3 linked regions of the Oryza sativa Japonica Group genome follow. The protein of the gene in region 2 interacts with the protein of the main gene of each other region in a pairwise test. Links are inferred from orthologs where the notes say so. Each region holds a gene or a part of one and is shown on either strand. Other genes may lie near its edges. The genes, in order: transcription factor MTB1, protein TIFY 10b and NINJA1.

What was found.
Region 1: the proteins of protein TIFY 10b (region 2) and transcription factor MTB1 interact in binary tests that used the Arabidopsis thaliana proteins (3 or more experiments, as listed by UniProt). The link is inferred for Oryza sativa Japonica Group from reciprocal best matches to the Arabidopsis thaliana genes JAZ1 and AT1G01260.
Region 3: the proteins of protein TIFY 10b (region 2) and NINJA1 interact in binary tests that used the Arabidopsis thaliana proteins (3 or more experiments, as listed by UniProt). The link is inferred for Oryza sativa Japonica Group from reciprocal best matches to the Arabidopsis thaliana genes JAZ1 and NINJA.

The regions. Positions count from the first base shown.
Region 1 is NC_089035.1:7,506,990-7,510,740, reverse strand, and holds the start of transcription factor MTB1, read left to right. Parts: upstream 1-1,280; 5' UTR 1,281-1,606; intron 1,607-2,308; 5' UTR 2,309-2,313; coding exon 2,314-3,751.
Region 2 is NC_089041.1:25,571,673-25,575,423, reverse strand, and holds protein TIFY 10b, read right to left. Parts: upstream 2,341-3,751; 5' UTR 2,083-2,340; coding exon 1,950-2,082; intron 1,812-1,949; coding exon 1,661-1,811; intron 1,141-1,660; coding exon 878-1,140; intron 770-877; coding exon 712-769; intron 616-711; coding exon 486-615; 3' UTR 80-485; downstream 1-79.
Region 3 is NC_089039.1:27,978,003-27,981,753, forward strand, and holds the start of NINJA1 (protein NINJA homolog 1), read left to right. Parts: upstream 1-1,189; 5' UTR 1,190-1,316; exon of another isoform or gene 1,317-1,464; intron 1,465-2,707; 5' UTR 2,708-2,822; coding exon 2,823-3,751. UniProt on the Arabidopsis thaliana protein: Acts as a transcriptional repressor. Negative regulator of jasmonate responses. Connects the JAZ proteins and the non-JAZ protein TIFY8 with the TOPLESS corepressors.

The sequences.
Region 1 (3,751 bases), on a different chromosome or scaffold from region 2:
ATTTTACAATTTCTAGCTCCTTCAATATTAACATAAGATTGAAGAATCCATCTAATTAGGATACAAATATTAATAAACCAAAGTCATTCTAGTAAAAAAAACTACATTATAAATCACTTATCTCCTCTTGTGGCTTAACCTGATTAACAAATAGACCAATCCCTCCTCAACCTCCGTCTCCTCGAATGATCAAAGAGCACGTGGCCACTATATGAGCAAACCAATTGTCCTGAGCTGACAAGAGTCCAAGGCTTGAATTGAGCTAGTTTCTCCACCCCCACGAGCCACGGATCCATCGGCTCAGGTTCCAGTCCCACCGGGGGTAGAGAAAGCAAGGCACCCTCTTCGTCCTCCTCTCACACCTTCCCTCTTCACACATCACGCGTTGTCTCCTCCTCCCCTTCCCCTTCCTCAAAATCTCCTCAACACGCCGCCTTAGCCTCAGCCCCAGCTCCTCAGCCCTGCGCATGCTTCGATCTTGGTGAATTCAGGGAGCTCGTGAGGTTACAATTAAGGGGAATAAACACTAGTTTGGCTTGCTCATTCAACACTTTGCAGCAGGGTCCAATTGCATCTAAATTATCTGCAGTGGTCAATTCTACTCATTAATTCATTTATGTCCCTGCCTGAATGAATATCACAAATACCATATCCATCGGTGAAAGAAAACATGCGGACCCAAACAAATATAAACAATGGCTTGAAGCGAGCCGGCTCTCCCATACGCCACAAAGCGGCTCGATATCCTATATCTGCAACATCGCTACTTTTAGGAATGTTCGTAAATATCTTATACATGCTAGTGCCAATGGGAGTATGATGGTGTGTTGGAATAGGGGAACCAGCCCCATGATTTTGAAATTCAACAGACTAAATTTGTTGAAACTCATGAGATATAAATGTTACCATTTCTAGCTCCTCAATTATTAACAAGCGAATAAAGAATCCATTAATAATAATAATAATAACCATATTATAAATCAATTATCCCCTATTTTAACTTAACCCGATTAACAAATCAACCCATATGCTTCCCACTCTCCATCGACTCGACTTGAATGCTCGTAGAGCACGCAACCACACTGTGTATGAACAAACCACCAGCGCGCAAAGCCGAGAAGAGCCCATGGGTCGGCGATCGAGCCGGCTCCCCCGCCCCTAACGAGCCGCGGACCGGCTCGGCTCGGCTCGGCTCGGGATCCAATCCCACCGGTGTAGAAAAGGCAAAGGCACCCTCGTTCTCCTTTCACACCTCTCCCCCCCTCTTCTTCTCTCTCTCCACATCACAAGTCGCCTTCCTCCTCCGCCCCCGAAATCCCCTCGCGAACCAGAGAAACCTGAGGCACCACCATCACCACCACCGCCTCCGCCTCCGCCTCCGCCTCCTGCGCGCGCGGCGAATTCGGGGGACCCTCGCGCTCGCGTGGGGTGTGGGTGGGGGGAGATCCGGGCGTCGCCGTCGCCGGGGGGGGGGGAGGGTGCTCGGATTCAGCCAGCGGCGGGTGGGGGGGCCCGCCTCTTTCTTCTTGGGGGGGCGCGGAGGAGACCCCGCCCGTCCTGGATTCCGTGGCCGCGGCGCCGATTCGGGCGCGGGAGCCCCAGCACGGTGAGATTTTCCCCCGCTGCCTTGCTGCACTGTGAGAATTGCCGTATCTATACTGTACTAGTTTGTTGTTGTTGTTGTTGTTGATGATGTGGCTGCTCGCTGTTGCGGAAACAGTGGAATGGATGGGGGTTTGGGATGGTTGGGGTTTGACGAGCTGGGCGGGTTGAGGCGGGAGGAGGGTTTGCTTAGGGTGGAATCTGATTGGCCGCGATCGGCACGGGTGTTTTGGCTGTATCCTATAGCGTGAAAAAGATAGGAAAATTACTGGTTGTATCACTTTTTGCTGGGTCAGGTTTGGATAGAATTCAATCGTGTTTTCCCTCCATGTCTTTTATCCGTTGAAATGGTGCCATATGAAATGTCAGGATTAGTTATAAATTCTGGTTGCACACTTTGTGGACGATTTCTGTTATTTGAGTGGGTTATTTAGCGATTATGTGTCCGCGAATATAATCTGTACTGACGTAAGAGCAGTGAATTTTTTTTATCACTCATCACAGTGTGTTTTTAGCTGGATGATAACTGAGAGTTTTGTTCCTGTTATTCTGAGTTCAGCACCCGATTATTCATAAGTCCAAATGATATTTTGTTGCTTGTGTATTTGTCTAAAACTGTGCTTGTGGCGTCCAGCCAGTCAATTCTTGTGAGTATTACGCATTTTTAGTGCTATATTTGGCCTGATATATATACTATCTTGAGTAGGTATTATGGTGATGAAGATGGAGGCTGATGAGGATGGTGCCAATGGCGGAACTGGTGGGACATGGACTGACGAGGACCGAGCGCTCACCGCCAGTGTGCTTGGAACGGATGCTTTTGCTTACTTGACAAAAGGAGGTGGTGCCATATCCGAGGGCCTTGTTGCTGCATCTTTGCCAGTGGACTTGCAAAATAGACTCCAGGAGCTTGTCGAATCAGATCGTCCTGGTGCTGGTTGGAACTATGCCATATTCTGGCAGCTGTCGCGCACAAAGTCCGGTGACCTTGTCCTTGGATGGGGGGATGGCTCTTGCCGTGAGCCTCATGATGGTGAGATGGGACCTGCTGCTTCTGCAGGTAGTGACGAGGCCAAACAGAGGATGCGCAAGCGTGTGCTGCAGCGATTGCACTCAGCATTCGGAGGTGTTGACGAGGAGGATTATGCCCCAGGCATTGATCAGGTGACAGACACAGAGATGTTTTTTCTAGCATCTATGTACTTTGCATTTCCACGCCGTGCTGGTGGCCCTGGTCAAGTATTTGCAGCAGGCGTGCCCCTGTGGATTCCCAACACTGAACGTAACGTATTTCCTGCCAATTACTGTTACCGGGGATACCTTGCAAATGCTGCAGGATTTAGAACTATTGTGCTAGTTCCATTTGAGACCGGTGTACTTGAACTGGGTTCGATGCAACAGGTAGCGGAGAGTTCTGACACTCTCCAGACCATAAGATCTGTGTTTGCTGGGGCAATTGGCAATAAAGCTGGAGTTCAGAGACACGAGGGGAGTGGCCCTACAGATAAGTCACCAGGTTTGGCAAAGATTTTTGGGAAGGACCTTAACCTTGGCCGGCCTTCAGCAGGCCCAGGAACTGGCGTGTCAGAGGCAGATGAAAGGTCGTGGGAACAAAGGACTGGTGGTGGGAGCTCATTGCTCCCCAATGTCCAAAGAGGTTTGCAGAATTTCACTTGGAGTCAGGCTCGGGGCCTGAATTCTCATCAGCAGAAGTTTGGCAACGGTATATTGATTGTGAGCAATGAAGCCACACCGCGCAACAATGGAGGAGTTGACAGCTCTACTGCAACACAGTTTCAGCTTCAGAAAGCACCACCACTTCAGAAACTACCACAGCTCCAGAAATCACATCAGCTAGTAAAGCCACAGCAACTAGTGAGTCAGCAACAGTTGCAGCCTCAAGCTCCCAGGCAAATAGATTTCAGTGCTGGGACCAGTTCCAAACCTGGTGTTTTGACTAAAAAACCAGCTGGTATTGATGGGGATGGTGCAGAGGTGGATGGCTTGTGTAAAGACGAAGGTCCGCCACCTGCATTAGAAGACCGGCGGCCTAGAAAGAGGGGAAGAAAGCCTGCAAACGGGAGGGAAGAGCCACTAAATCATGTTGAGGCCGAGCGCCAGAGGAGGGAGAAGCTCAACCAGCGATTCT
Region 2 (3,751 bases):
AGCAAATTGACTCTGCAGGCACATATAATGGGGACCAAATAATGCAGACATATTGGAGGAGGACCAAGCCAATAAGCCATGTAACAGAAATCAACAATAGGAATATGAATTATATTCTGAATCCATTACAATCACTTTGCTTTGCATAGAGCAAGGCTAGAGCCAAGGACAAAGCCAGATGATCAGAATTTCAGAAGATACATATATGTTTCCTTTGCAATAACTTTTTACCTTAGCATGGCCATTTTCAGAGTCACCATGTGTTAACATGCCAAAACTTCTCTCAGGCTCTCGGCACTGGTCGTCAATGCTACTACCTTTTTCCTTTACATTCAGAACTATGTGACAAGTGAACAACATAGAAGCACGAACTAAAGAAAAAACACTAAAACATGGGGTATGAGAGAACATATATGATTTGGTACTCTAACGGCAAGCGCATTTCATATATTTTTGAAGAGCTTTGGTGAAGTTTCCATGCAACCTCATTGGCCGCGTTCTATGGGCTTCACGACGGCGTTCGGCCCTAGTCCGAGCCATGGCTGGCTCTCAGGCTCCTTCTTGACTGGGGTTGCATCTGAAGGAGAAGCCTGGTATGGCGTCTTTGCATTAAGACTGTGACAACAAAAGGCGCATATTAGATCCATGAACTGCAGTGATCAAAATACTGAACTTAAACATCATGCAAATCATCACAGCAAAACAACTTACCGATCCTTTCTCTTCTCAAGGAACCTGTGGAGTGATGCCTTCCTAGCAATAGGCATATCTACACAGAAAAAAAGAGGTCACTTGATAACTGCTACAACAAAATTCAACTGGTTATGCGTTCAATACCCCGACAGACATGAACATCAAGAAAGGGCAGAGTAATTACCAGAAGCATTCGCGCGAGCAGGCTTCTGAGCATCGGCCTGAGCTGTAGGCAAGCTACTGACCGGGGCCGGCACGGCCATAGGGGCCTTGGTGTTGTCTGTAACAGCTGCTGGTGCAGGTGCCGCGGCATTCTGAGGAGCCACCGGGCTGCCCTTGCTAGCCAGCTGCATCAAGCCCTTTGCCTTGTCGGCTGGGAAGTCGTTGAACACGAGCACCTTCCCACCATAGAAGATGGTCAGCTGACGCTTCTCAGGCTCTTGTTCCCTGAAATTCATTTGCACAGAGAACACTATGAACACCTGGGATACCAGTATATCACCCCTCCAATTCTGCACCATCTGACTAACTCTATTTTCACCGGCAAGCATAAAAAGGGTTCTTTTTGAAACTACGTTTTCAGTGCCCCAGTTTAAACAAAAAAAAAACCCTAAGTTTGGGGTTAAAATTTTCTATTAACAAAGATAGGTAAAGTTTTTATAGATCCATTAACAACTCCCTGAAGTCTGAATGACCTAGTAACTCTGCTTGCCTAATTCCAATTAGTATCTGAACCCAAAGCAAAAAACAACAAAATGTTTACTCATAACCCTCTCTCCCCTCAACTAGATTTGATACCAAAAACAGTGGCTTCAACCTATTGAGGCACTTACAGCTAAGTTTTGTAGACTGCAAAATTTGTCATTTCTCTGCGTGATTCCAAGAACTAGGACACACACACACATACACCTAAGGAGCAGGAACTGCACAAAAATGAAGCAGAGAACCAAGTGGCATGGCCCCATACCTAGCATCAGCAGCAGAATCGGCGGTGATGGCATCCTGCTGGCCAAAGCCGGCGCTCTGCGGGAAGAGCTCCATGGTCTCCTTCTTCCTCTCCGCCTCCCCGGGCAGCAAGCTCATCGTCGCCGGCGCCGCCCTCGGAGCCTCACCCTCACCTGGAACCGAACCAAAACCCCAAACCTTGTGATCAGATCTCAACACGAAACCGAAGCTGAAGATGAAGATCCAACCAAGCCGAAGCACACCCACAAAAAAAGGGATGAGTTCTTTTTTTTTTCCCTTCTCCTCCTCACCTCTGATGCCGAGGCCGAGCTCGGCGGCGGCGGCGCCGTTCTGGCGGACGTAGCGGCTGAGCAGGCTGCACGCCATGGCGAAGCTCGTCGCCCTCTCCCCGCCGACGCCGACGGGCCTCGCGGAAGCCGCCATCTCTCCAAGCTCCCTTCCTAACTACCCGGCGTCGATCCAATCTCTCCTCCCCGCCGCTCGCCGCGCCGTTCTTGCTGCACCACCCCGGCTCGTCGTCGCCTCGCCGCCGTCCAGCTACCTCCGATTCCTCCTCTCGCCTTCCTGCCGCTGCTGCTAGTGGTTGAGCTGCGAGAGCGAGAGCTAGAGAGAGAGAGGCTCGTGCGCGAGCGTTTATAAGCAAGGAGAGGAGACGGAGACGACGCAGCCGCTGCGGTTTCTGGTCACCACTCAATTCGATTCAATTTAACCTCGCGGATTTTCTTTCTTCCCATTTTTTTCTTCTCCTAATTACCTACTTCCTCCCTCCAAAAAAAACAAACCCTATATATTTTCGTGTCCAACTTTAACTGTCCGTCTTGTATGAAATTTTTTTATAATTCTTTTAAATAAAAAAATATTATTAATATTTTATGTGTGACTTGTCTTTTTAATTTTTTTCATAATTTTTTTAAATAAGACGGACGGTCAAACGTTGGGCATGGAAGCCAGGGTGTCTTTTTTTTTTGGGACGGAGGGAGTACTCCGTACTGGAATAAGTTAATCTAACACAATGTGACATATTGTAGTAATACAAATATGTCTAAATTTATAGTATTATTACGATATGTTTATCCCATAATTTAATTTGGAATGGAGAAAATAGTTGCTCTCTTCGTTCCAAAATACTACTTATAAATTACCTTTTACCTTATCTCAATTATTACCACTGGATTCATCTCTATCCAACTTTGTTATTATATCATAATAAGAGTACTACGTTTTAGAACGAAGGGAGTTACATCTGTTCTAGAAATATACTCCCCCTGTCTCATAATATAGCAACCAATGATGAACACCATCAATCATTGGTTGTTATATTCTGAGACAGATGGAGTAAATAATTATAAAATAGATAGATGATGAACACCATCAATCATTGGTTGTTATATTCTGAGACAGATGGAGTAAATAATTATAAAATAGATAGATGGTACCCTAGCGTCTTAAAAAAAATTCAATTCTAGCTACGAATTTAGACACGTATGTAAGCTACGAATATATGCGTGTCTAGATTCGTAGCTAAAGTTTATCTTTTTTTAGACATAGTAGTAGGTATTAAGAAAGTAAGTAAAATTTATTGGAGAAATATTATGATTTGTTGAGATAAAAAATAAGATGAATGAAATAAATGGACGAGGGTTGTGAACTTTGTGATGGGTTAGAAGGATATTGATGGATAAATAGGTTTACTATAGAAGAATATTTTGTTATTACAAGTAACTGTATTTTGGAACGGAGTAACAGATTTCTTCTTTTAAATATTATTTTATTCAATTCGGTATCATTTCGCGGGCTGGGGGGGACGATGCGAGTACTAAATGCGCGGATTCCGCACGTGGTTCGTGTGCGGAGCGAGGGGGTGGTGGGCCCCACCGCGACTGCTCCCCTCCCCCTCCTCTTTTAAATATTCTCCGGATTTATTTTATAGCGATTTTTCGCCCTTTTCCTTAATTGCGGGTGGGGCCCGCGCCCCCCATGTGCGCGATCGATCGGGTCGGTACATGCAGCACGAGGCGGTGAGCGCGAGACGTGTCGGATCCGGGTCGGGTCGGGTTTTGGTTTTGGGTTTGACCCGACCCGGTTACACCTG
Region 3 (3,751 bases), on a different chromosome or scaffold from region 2:
GTGCATATGACCCATACATAGGCAGGCGACACCGCGTGCACGCCCTCCGCCTCCCCAATCCGTCCCGTCTCCTCGCCCGCCGCCCTCGACTCCCGTCTCCTCGCCTGCCGCTGGCGCCGATCTCCATCCTGCTAGCAGAGGTGGCGCCGGCGTCCTCCTCCTGCTCCCGCCGCATTCGCTCACCGGTGAGCATCCTAATCCATCCCATCCGGCCTCGGCCTCGGCCTCGAATTTCGTCTCCTCACCCGCCGCTTGCGCCGATCCCCATCCTGCGAGCAGAGGTGGCGCCCGGCGTCCTCCTTCTAGCTTCCACCGCATCGTCGCTCGCCGGTGAGCATCCCTCCCTACCCACACCTCATCAGGTATTCTGCTTTATCCCTCAAAAAGTTTGGGGGTTCAACCGAAACAGGGTTAGATCTGCCTCTGCCCAGCTCCACCTACTTTCAAGTTGTTAATTTTGATTTCCGTTTTTAGCATATGTAATTTGGTTACTGAATCTCATCCAAACACCCTTATAGAACGAAAAATGTAAGCTCACATAATTTTTACTCATCCAAACTCACGTAAATTTCTTTAAGAAGAATCTAGACCACAAACTACCCATAGTCACACAAAATATCTTTTTATCAACTTATATTCTTATAAGTAATTTTTATTCCACAAAATTTCTAAAGGACATACGGTGACACTTGGCATTAATCTAATTTAACTTTTTTTTCTTTGTCAGGTTATAAATTTTCTAAGACATTTGTGCCACTTGGCATGAATCTAATTTAACATTCTTTCTTTATCAGGTTATAAATTGAAACCATTGAACGTACTCCCAACTTCCCAATTAGTTTTGCTAGTAAATATAAACAAACATTAGTTTTGTGCACACAATTCACGTGCTCCCAACTTCCCAAGTCCACATCACCCTTCACCCATTCCTCCACTTGAGCCAAAACACCACGTTATCCTAAAACCCCAACTGACAGATAAGCCCCACCCGACAGTCCATCCACGGGCCCACTCCATCCGCGCGGGCCCACTGTCCAGTGACACAGTGAACACAATCGTCATATTTGCACCGTTTGGGTAGGGTGGGGATGGGGTGTGTGCTAGCAATCCCGGTGGATCGAGTGGTAGGCGAAATTACAAAATTACCCTCGCTGTTTTGATGGCTCTGTCTCGTGGTCGTGCGTGAGTTATGCTTCTTGAGTTTGCCCTTGCCTACCCACCCGCCTCCGCCGATCCCCATTCCAACCCGCGACTGCGAGCGAGGCGAGTAGGGCGGCTTCGTCGTTCGTCCTGCTGCTTCCGCCGCATCCATCCTGGTGAGCACATCCTCTTCCGCCGCCGTCGCCTGCGGCCGATCCCCATCCATCACGCGCGAGCTCGTCCTGGTCCTGCTGCCGTCGCCTGCAGCCGATCCCCATCCATCACGCGCGAGCTCGTCCTGGTCCTGCTGCTTCCGCAGCATCCGTTACGCGCATCCTCTTTCCCATCTCTCCCTGTGTCTACCTACGAACTTATTTTTCTCGAATTTGTGCGTTAACCCTAGCTTCTGTTGTAGAAATCTGCCTTAAACCTTAATACTAGTAACAGTTTGATGGGAGCGTTAACCCTAGCTTCTGTTGTAGAAATCTGCCTTAAACCTTAATACTAGTAACAGTTTGATGGCTCCCAAAAAGGTTTCCCATGCTAGATCCGCCACTGTAGTATTACGACTATAAGTTTTTTTTGTTTTCACAGCAACTTAAAGAAATAAGCACTGCGCAACACAGTAGAATAGCCATAAAACAAGCCTTAGTGCCATGGTTTGGAGCATTTTGCTGCTGGCGTGAGAAGATGTTTCCATTCTGTTGGTTCAGCATTTTAGCTGGCGTTTAGCTAGATGTGCAACCTAAGGACGTCTGGTTTAGCAAGTTTAATGTCCAAGTTATTATTCTATAGTTAGAAATAAAGGTCTGTTGATTAAATTACAGTAGTTTAGCAAGTTTAATCACACCTTAATACTAGTAACAGTTTGATGGCTCCCAAAAAGGTTTCCCATGCTAGATCCGCCACTGTAGTATTACGACTATAAGTTTTTTTTTGTTTTCACAGCAACTTAAAGAAATAAGCACTGCGCAACACAGTAGAATAGCCATAAAACGAGCCTTAGTGCCATGGTTTGGAGCATTTTGCTGCTGGCGTGAGAAGATGTTTCCATTCTGTTGGTTCAGCATTTTAGCTGGCGTTTGGCTAGATGTGCAACCTAAGGATGTCTGGTTTAGCAAATTTAATGTCCAAGTTATTATTCTATAGTTAGAAATAAAGGTCTGTTGATTAAATTATAGTAGTTTAGCAAGTTTAATCACCAATTAGGGTTAGATTCAATCGACTGGTTTGGGGCAAAGTGTTTACTTTATTGTAGATCTTGTTGCTTAAATTACATCGGCCGGAGAGGTTCCGACTTAACATGCTGTAGCATCGATGTAGTGTATTCCAAGCCTCTCTCTCTCTCTAATTAACCCATCCACATTATCTAAAAAAAATTAACCCATCCAACTTTTTGGAGATTTCTTTAAAAAAAATTAACCCATCCAACTTTTTGGAGATTTCTTTGGTGGGTGGTCAGGCGGTAATAACAGTTTGTTTCCAAAAGTTTTGGAGATTCAGCGGATACACATGAAACATGTTTGCCATGCTTAGTCTCTTACCAAAGGCTTTTTTTTTCTTGCAGATATGACTTGTTGAGTGGAAAGAATCAATATAGTACAATCTATTTTCTTCTCAATGTGTAGAAGAAACAGTCTGTAACCATACATACTTATTAATACGACTAGTGAAATCTAGACATGGACGATGAGAATGGCCTTGAGCTTAGCTTGGGTCTCTCTTTGGGTGGGACATCAGGAAAGTCTAAGGCTAGAGATGCTCCTCTAGAACCTAAAGCAGAGCCTCAAGTGGAAGAGAGCAGTAGCAAAGGTGTTTCACAAACTCCTGAGGCTCCTTTTGTGCATTACTATCAAACAAATGCAGAGAACCAAGAACACAGTAGCAAGCAGAGACACAGCCCTGCTGCACCACCGTTTGGGAACTTTTGGGGACAGCCAGGGAGTTCTTCTGTTCCTGTGGCAGATGGATCCAATGAACAGAAGCCAGTCTCTAGTAAACGGAAATTACTTTCTGAGGAGATAAGTTTTCAGAAGAAACCTAATACAGCTGCTGAGCAACCTGATGCATTTAGTAAGAGCTCTGACGGTGGTGTAAAAAACGCTCCTATTTCAATTAGCACGGATGATGGTTCAACAGGTGAAAACGAGGATGTTGCAGAATCAGAAGCAGAAGGCTCAAACTCTTGGTTGGTTGCACAGCGTGAAGACAGTGCTAAGGGATCTGTTGTCAATAGAGGATCTGACAGAAAACGATCCAGTGATGATGCTGCAGTTGGTTTTCAAGGAAAGAGGCAGCCAAGTTTCTCAGGAAGTGAATCCAGCTCTGGAAAATTGCCACAAGGAAATCCTTTGTCATTGCAAGCATCAAATGTTGTTGCTGTGCCATATCAAGTCCCGTCTCAGGTTTCAGCTCCTCCCAGTATTACCAATGCATCAAATTTCACTCCAGTATGTACAGTGCAGTTGAGGCCACCTACAAACAATGGACTAGCTGTTACAATGGGCAGTACCTCTCAGGTAGCTTTTGGTTATCCAGCTGTCCAGCTACCAACACTTGAAACAAGCTCTTCATGGGCTTTTGGTGCTCCACCTCAGGCTATGTCCTCTTT